Oryctolagus cuniculus: one gene and its partner. The protein of the gene in region 2 interacts with the protein of the main gene of each other region in a biochemical or structural test. Links are inferred from orthologs where the notes say so. Each region holds a gene or a part of one and is shown on either strand. Other genes may lie near its edges.

Region 1 (3,747 bases), on a different chromosome or scaffold from region 2:
CGTCGTCCTCCTCGTCCGAGGCTGCCCCGGGCGACGGTGGCGGTCCGGCGCGCGCGAGGCAGCCCGAGGCGCGCGGCCGGGCGTGGGGGTTCGCATGGCACCCGCGGGCGGCCCGGCGCGCGCAGCAGAGCAGGCGCTGGAAGGCCTTGCGGAAGTCGGGGCTGCGGCAGTAGATGATGGGGTTGAAGGCCGAGTTGGCGTAGCCGAGCCAGTTGAAGAAGACGAAGAGGCGGTCGGGCACCAGGTCGCGGTGGAAGGCCTTCACCACGTTGGCCAGGAAGAACGGTAGCCAGCAGAGCGTGAACACGCCCATGATGATGCCCAGCGTCTTGAGCGCTTTCTGCTCGCGCAGGGCCACGAGGCGCGACGGCCGCCGCTTGCTGTGGCGCCCGTTGGCCAGCGCGGCCGCGGAGCCGGAGCCGGGGCTGGAGCCGGGGTCCGGGCGCGGGGGCCCTGGCTCGGGCGCGGGGCCGCTGAGGAAGCGGCGCTCACAGCTGTCGATCTTCTTCACCTGCTTCTGCGCCTCTCGGAACACCCGCAGGTACACGAAGGCCATGACGCACAGCGGCACGTAGAAGGAGACCACGGACGAGGCGATGGCGTACGCCCGGTTGGTGACAAAGTCGCAGCACTTGGGGTCGTTGTAGCAGCGGCGCGCCTCGTCGCCCTCGGCCCGCCACCAGTGCATGAGGATGGGCAGGAAGGACACGAGCGCCGAGATGGCCCACACGGTGCACACGAGGGCCCGCGCCCGCGCGCGCGTCAGCAGGCTCTGGTAGCGGAAGGGCGACGTGATGGCGAGGTAGCGGTCTAGGGCAATGACACACAGGGTCTCGATGCTGGCCGTCACACAGAGCACGTCCACCGAGGTCCAGAGCTCGCAGAAGAAGGAGCCATACTCCCAGCGGCCCCACACCACGATGGTGGCCCCGAAGGGCACCACCAGCAGCCCCATGACCAGGTCGGCGCTGGCCAGGGACATGATGAACAGGTTGGTGAGCGTCTGCAGCCGCGGTGTCTTCGCTATGGCCACGATCACCAGCACGTTGCCCGCCACGATGAGCAGCACCACGAGCGCCATAAGCAGGCCCATGCCAGCCGTCCACTGCTGCGACAGCAGCGCGGGGCCCTCGCTGGCGGGAGGCAACAGCGAGGCGGGCGGCGACGCGGGCACCAGCAGCCGCGCCGCCGTGGCCGCGCCGTCGGGCAGTGGCGCGGCGGACGACAGGTTGCAGGGCTCGGAGGCGCCCAGGGCGAGCGCCCCCGCGCTCATCCCGAGCTGCGGAGGCCGGGGGCGGGGGGTGTGGCGGAGCTGGGCCGTGGCTGGGGAGCCCTCCGAGAGGCCGTGCCGGCGGGGCGCGCTGTCGGAGGTCGCGGCCAGGTCAGGGCAGCTGCGGCGCGGAGCCCGAGGCATCGGCTCCGGGCGCCCTCCCCGCAGCCGCCGAGCGCTGTCGCCGCCGCCGCCGCCGCCGCTGCTGCTGGGGCCGCTGCCGCTGCTGGCAGAGCCGCCGGGACCTCAGCATGTTTCTGAGCGCGCGGGGCCCGCGGCCCCGGCACCCAGCACCCACCCCCCGTTCCCACCTCCCGAGCCGGCCCCCGGGGCCTGGCGTCAGGCTCCTGCAGCCAATCGGGGCGAGGGCACGCCCCCTTCTCTGCCTCCCCACTCCCTGCTACCCCGACTCCCCGCACCCCCTCCTACCGGCGATTGAGCGGCTCGGGGGAGTCGGGGCAGAGCGTCCAGCCAGCGCCTCTCGGGCGCCCGCGGGTTCCGCCGAGCGCTCCCTTTCCTGCGCCCGCCCGCTCCAGCGCCCCGTTCCCCTGCGCCGCCTAGGGCGCCCGGCTCCCGGCCGCGTCCCCGCCCCCTCCCGCGCTCGGCTCCCTCCCGCTGCCCCGCTCTGCCCACCCCCGCATCCCCTCTACCTCCGTTGTCCGGATTCCCCGCAGCACTGGGCGCCGGCTCCCTTAGGGGGCGGCGAACGTTGACATCCTCACGGCTCCTGGGCGCCTCGAGCGGTCTTGTCCGCCAGGGTTGGAGGAGATTGGTTCTTGGGTGTGTAGAGTCCTTCCTCCGCCAAGGGGGCACCGGGCCAACCTGCGTCGCGCCAGCCCTGCGAGATCGGAGGTGGGTGTTAGCAGGGAGAGGAAACTTGGCAGCACAGCGCGTTGCGGGAGCAAACCGCGCACCTGTCTCTGCGCGGGTGCGGCGCTTGCGAGGAAGCGTCTGTTGTACTTCGGGTGCAGGAGATGTAGCAGGGGCGAAGGCTGCTGCATCCAGCAGCCAACGCGGAGGCTGAGCTGGAAAAACACACACTTCCTAGCCCCTGCGCGTGATGCAACAGTGTGTGTCCACGCCGTGAGGGGAGAGGCTAGGGAAACACGCATGTTAACGCGCACGCAGACAGACCACCTCCACTGACGCTTTAGGCTTCCCACATTCAGTCACAACACCTGCATTTTGTGAGTTATTGCACGCAGGTTTTTATACTCAGGGCAGTGTGGATTGCAGACTCTGAGGCACTGACAGTTTTGGTTGAAGCAATGAACTGGGATTTTGGATTTTTTGGTCTGGGTGGCGGTTTGTTCCTTTACCCAAGTTCCCAGATTCTTGCAACTCTGGGGTTAGTTTTGAAGGGATGAGAGAGAGAGAGAAAAAAACCATAAATCCTCAAGGGGATTAAAACCCCAAAGCATTTAAAGTTATACCAGTGGTTTCTGAGTTGGCAAATGGGTTCATTTAAGGGTTAGAGGGTTGTTAACCTAGTTGTAGGTGGATTATATGGAGGAGAGGGGGAATGGTGGGGCCAGGAGCACACAGGGCAGAGGGAAGCAAGCCCTTTCTCTAATTTGGCCCTGGTAAGGAACTTAGCTCAGGCCTGAAAATAAACAAAAAACCTTTAATTAGATCCTTGTGAAGTAAACAGCTCCCGATCATCATGAACGTGTTATATAACGCTCACACATCTTTACGGCGTTAGAATAAAAAGAACAGCATCTAGAAAGAGCATCCACCACGGCCCAAAACCGTGCTCCTACCTTGCCAGAGAGAGGCGAACAAAAAGGAATGCTTGTTACGTGTGCAGACGTCAGACCGTTTGCACCAGCTTCTTGAGACTAGAGAAATGCAAACACATGAATTTGCTTTAGGCCTAAGCATGATCATCGAAGCATTCCTACAACCCGGGAGTGATTAATTTGTTTATTCACCCCTGCCCTGGACTCAGCCCAGTTTTGCCAACTTGGGGAGGTTGATGTGGGGGAGTCAGGAAGAGAGGAGCTGGAAAGAGGGAGGAAGGAGACCGGGCCCTTAGTGACTCCACTCCTTGCAAGTCCTCCCTTTGGCCCGGTGAGAGGGGGAGCTAAGGGGTGGTATTAAAATAGCCAAGGGATTGGGTGGAGTGGAAATTGATGCTGCCCAGGAAAGGGCTCTGAGTGCTGGGTGGGGTGCAGGGAGTGTGGGGAAAGCTGCTGTCTACCCGGCGCAATCCTCCTGCCAAGTGCTGCTACTGGAATAGAGTGTGTCAACCTCAAGTGCCCGCACAGGGCCAGGGCGCAGGGCGCAACACGGCGAGAAGGCCTGACTGTGGGTGCAGGGGCTGGCGCAGAAGCCGGGTGCAGGTGACTTCACTGTGTGGTTACTTGCACGAACGTCCTGGGCATCAGCATGGCCGGAAACCTCTCTCCTGGCTCTCTCCCCTACTCATTCAGAGACACCACAAATACGTACATGGAATTATAGACACCGAAAGC
Region 2 (3,647 bases):
CCTGATGAAGTAAATATTATAATCAATGTTTGAAAGGAAACAGGAAGTCCCTAATGCAGAGATCACCTCCCTCTCATCCTACAAGCAAACACATCCAACAAATCTTCAGAATGGAAGCGGATTCAGCAAGATTTTCCCTCCACCAATCTAACTCCTCTGCCTCGACTCCAATTTCCAAGATGGCAATTCTCAGCTCCTTTTAAAATATGTGCAACCCATGTCCACCCTTTGCCAGACCTGATTCCCTTTACCGGCCATCTGACAGTTATAAAGTGACTGGTGGAGAGTTTAATTTTCACAACAACCATCTCCTGAAAAAGTCTGAATGAGATCACAACCACAGCAGACCATGTGTTGCCTTAAAAAAAAAAAATCACTCCTTCACTTTATTACACCTACTTCATGTTCACTTTGTCCTAACCAAGGCAGCACACGAGATGCCTACCTGAATTTTATATTTTTAAGTACTAGAGGTTAAAAAAATATGCCCGTTTTCCAACTGGTGTTCAAGTTTTCATAAATATTTTCCATCATACCTGATTAAGTCAAATGTAATGTGTGTGTGTGCGCGTGTGCACGTGTGCGCGCACGAGCGCTTCAGTATAAGCTGCTTTTGCATATTCATGTCTCTCCCGATTTCAAGCTCCTGACTAGAACAGACCCAGTTCTTCTGACTTTGTTTTTGAAGTCTCTCCATGGCACATAGAAAAAATGTATCTAAATTTACAGAGTAAATGTGGCGCTCTCAACCAGTTCTTGCTTTATTTTTCTGATTTCCTTCATTTGTTCCATTAGGAATCTATAGTCTCTCATCTTGCAATTGCTTCTGTACAGGGTAATAACTTTCCGGAGTGGTGAGTTGGTGGAAGGGCCCCAGAACACACCATAAGTTCCTATCCACAACTTAGCAGGAGGAGGGAGAAGCAGACCACCATTCAAGAATATGCATTTTCCCTTCACCACCAGTGTGCTATTTTTGACAAAGTTTTTTGTTCTTGAAATCAACAACTTTCAAATATTTATTCTGAAAGTAAATTCCTGGAAAGTCCTGATTAGACCACTCAATTTTGAACTATAAGGCTCATTTTCTTAAAACTAATATACAAAATTATTCATTTGCTGAATAACTTTCACTGATCTTCTCCTTCTACAGATCCTCAGCATAGACTTTTTATCACAGTATCCATATAAACCACATTTTCCTCTTGAGGAAATCATACTTTGAGAATTTTATTTTATAATATCTATAGCAAGAATGAAAAAAAGTGAACACTTTGGGACGAGTATTACTTTTCTCCCGAGGACAAAGTCATCTTAATATGAAGGTCAACATTCAGGGCTTAATTCTTCAAGGAATCAATACTTATAGCTTCATTTTTATTAGATTTGAATAAGAGGATGAATATTGCTATTTTGTGCTGCATAACATTTCTATGGGAAAAGATGTGGTCTGACCAACTGGATGTTATTGGCACCCACTGCAGATGAAGCCAAATGTTCCCTGGGAGGTAGAATTCCACAAATGCAAAAGAACCCCAAGTCTGAATTAACCACTCAAGCAAAAGAGCACCTACCTGGATTAACAGACAAAATGTATTGAAAATATATATATTTAATTCTTTCTCTATACATTTGGAACAAATCAAGTAGGCATAAACCCTAAGACGCTCCTATTAAATACAAACTATTATAATTCATTCATTCAGAAAAAAGAAAAAAAAACATAATATTGGCTCTGCCTTGCCATTAACTAGGTTTTGTGATGTCATCATATTATATAGCTCAATTTTAGCTTATTGTTTAAAAAAATCCATATCTGATTTCTAGAGAGAACATCAAGTGATATTTCCTACCTGCACTGAAACTATTCTATTGAACATCAAAACCAAAATAAATGGGAGAGAGCTGAAGAATTTATGCAACTTTGGCATCCGCAGTAAGTAAGGGTCATGGGACTAGAGGATTAATTAAATAAGAAGGTGAGCTATAGTTTAGTAACAATGGTTCATGTTTGTTTGATGGGTATGTTTAGTGAGGAGTGGGTAGAGCTGCTTCTATGTCAACACTATCCAATTACATTAACACTAATGAGAGAGAGACCTGGAGAGACACACACACAAAGAGAAAGGGAAGAAGCGGGGGGGAGAGAGAGGGAGAGGGGGAGGGATAAAAGGTAGGCTTTAGTATACTTTACCATCCCCAGGAATGATGCGAAGGGTAACCGTGTTTCCTGCTTCCTTGATTAGGTTGACAATGTCTGAATGGGATTTGTTGGTGATGGAACATCCATTTACTGCCAAGATCCGGTCTCCTACTTTCAGCTTGCCACAGCGGTCAGCGGGGCTCCCCTCAATAATCCGACCTATTTTGTGAGGCATAGCCACACATGCATTGCCTGCTTTGATATCGAGTTTTAATTGTTTTTAAAGTTACGTGGGAATATAGTGAAGGGAGGAGAAAAAGGGTTGAAAAGGGAAAGAGAAGGTTAAGTGTTAATTAATTAAAGCATTAAGCAAATGTTATTCAAAGGAGAGCTCGGCGCCCATGGTCCGAACATTGGCGAACTCCTGGCTAATAAGGAGTGCGTCCCCGAAACCAGACATCACGGCTGCAGTCTTTCCTGATTCAACATGGACGGAAAACCCCAGCTTCTCTCTTCACAGCAATTACAAAATTTGGGAAATCTGGCAACTTCGGAAATTCTCTCAAGAGCCCCTAAATAACTCAGCGCCAGCTTATTTTGGGACTGCCAATGTGAAACCCAGAGGGAGGCTGGCTGCCTTCACTCATTGTGTGTTCCCATCACTTCATTTTTGCCAGCTGTTGTGCAAGCTTCTGCCAATGTTTAGTTCTTTTTCCCTTTAGAAAAACAATCCCTGGTTCTGTGGTGAGGCATGAGAGTCGGCTAGCACAGAAAATTCCATCTGCGAACACCTGATGGGCAAACACTGGCACTTGGTACCTTCTCTCCAAAGCTTTAGGCAAAGGGCATCATGACAACAGATGCACCAAGAGAACACCTAACGTTGAACCTCACTTTTCCTTTCAGGATCTTTGCTCAATCAGCCCATCCTGGGTGCTTCCAAGGTAGGGCTGGATTGGCTCTCATCACCTCTGAAATCTTGCTCCTGCCTCGCAAAGATAACCTTAAGGGAAGATGAAAATCAAGTACCTGATTCACAGTAAGGTTCGAATAATTCCCCAACCCTTTCCCTCTCATGATCGTCCTTTTCATCACCAGTTACCATATGCCCACATTAAGAAAAACCAGGAAAAGGGCATCTGAAGAGGAAGGCTGATTGTGTGAGCACTCTGAGGCACTCAATGCTATTGTTAACTTCTAGAGAGTGGTGGGCAACTGGCTCTGCAGCCTGGCGTTAAGTTTCTAGCTGACCATACACTGAGTTTGAAAGCTGTTCATGCAGGTTCACTTATTTTGAGAATTTGCCAATCTGGGGGACCATGAAATCAGTTACGCAGTTGAGCCACCTTTTGGAAAGGAAAATAAAATTAACATGGAAGACCTAGAATCTAAATAGGTTCTTCCACCTTGAGGGTAAGTCTAGACCTTGAGGGTAAGCTGTATAGGAAAATACACTTTAATTCCTTAGAATTTCTGCAAACTGGCCTGACTTTGCGTCACTGGA

What was found. The genes of interacting proteins can lie anywhere in the genome.
Region 1: the proteins of MAGI1 (region 2) and ADRB1 interact in a test that uses a peptide from one of them, tested with the Homo sapiens proteins (2 studies listed by IntAct). The link is inferred for Oryctolagus cuniculus from reciprocal best matches to the Homo sapiens genes MAGI1 and ADRB1.

Annotation. Positions count from the first base shown.
Region 1 is NC_091446.1:16,246,955-16,250,701, forward strand, and holds the start of ADRB1 (beta-1 adrenergic receptor), read right to left. Parts: upstream 2,448-3,747; 5' UTR 2,185-2,447; intron 2,109-2,184; 5' UTR 1,921-2,108; intron 1,497-1,920; 5' UTR 1,415-1,496; coding exon 1-1,414. UniProt on the Homo sapiens protein: Beta-adrenergic receptors mediate the catecholamine-induced activation of adenylate cyclase through the action of G proteins. This receptor binds epinephrine and norepinephrine with approximately equal affinity.
Region 2 is NC_091441.1:84,208,503-84,212,149, reverse strand, and holds part of MAGI1 (membrane-associated guanylate kinase, WW and PDZ domain-containing protein 1), read right to left. Parts: intron 2,399-3,647; coding exon 2,195-2,398; intron 1-2,194. UniProt on the Homo sapiens protein: Plays a role in coupling actin fibers to cell junctions in endothelial cells, via its interaction with AMOTL2 and CDH5. May regulate acid-induced ASIC3 currents by modulating its expression at the cell surface.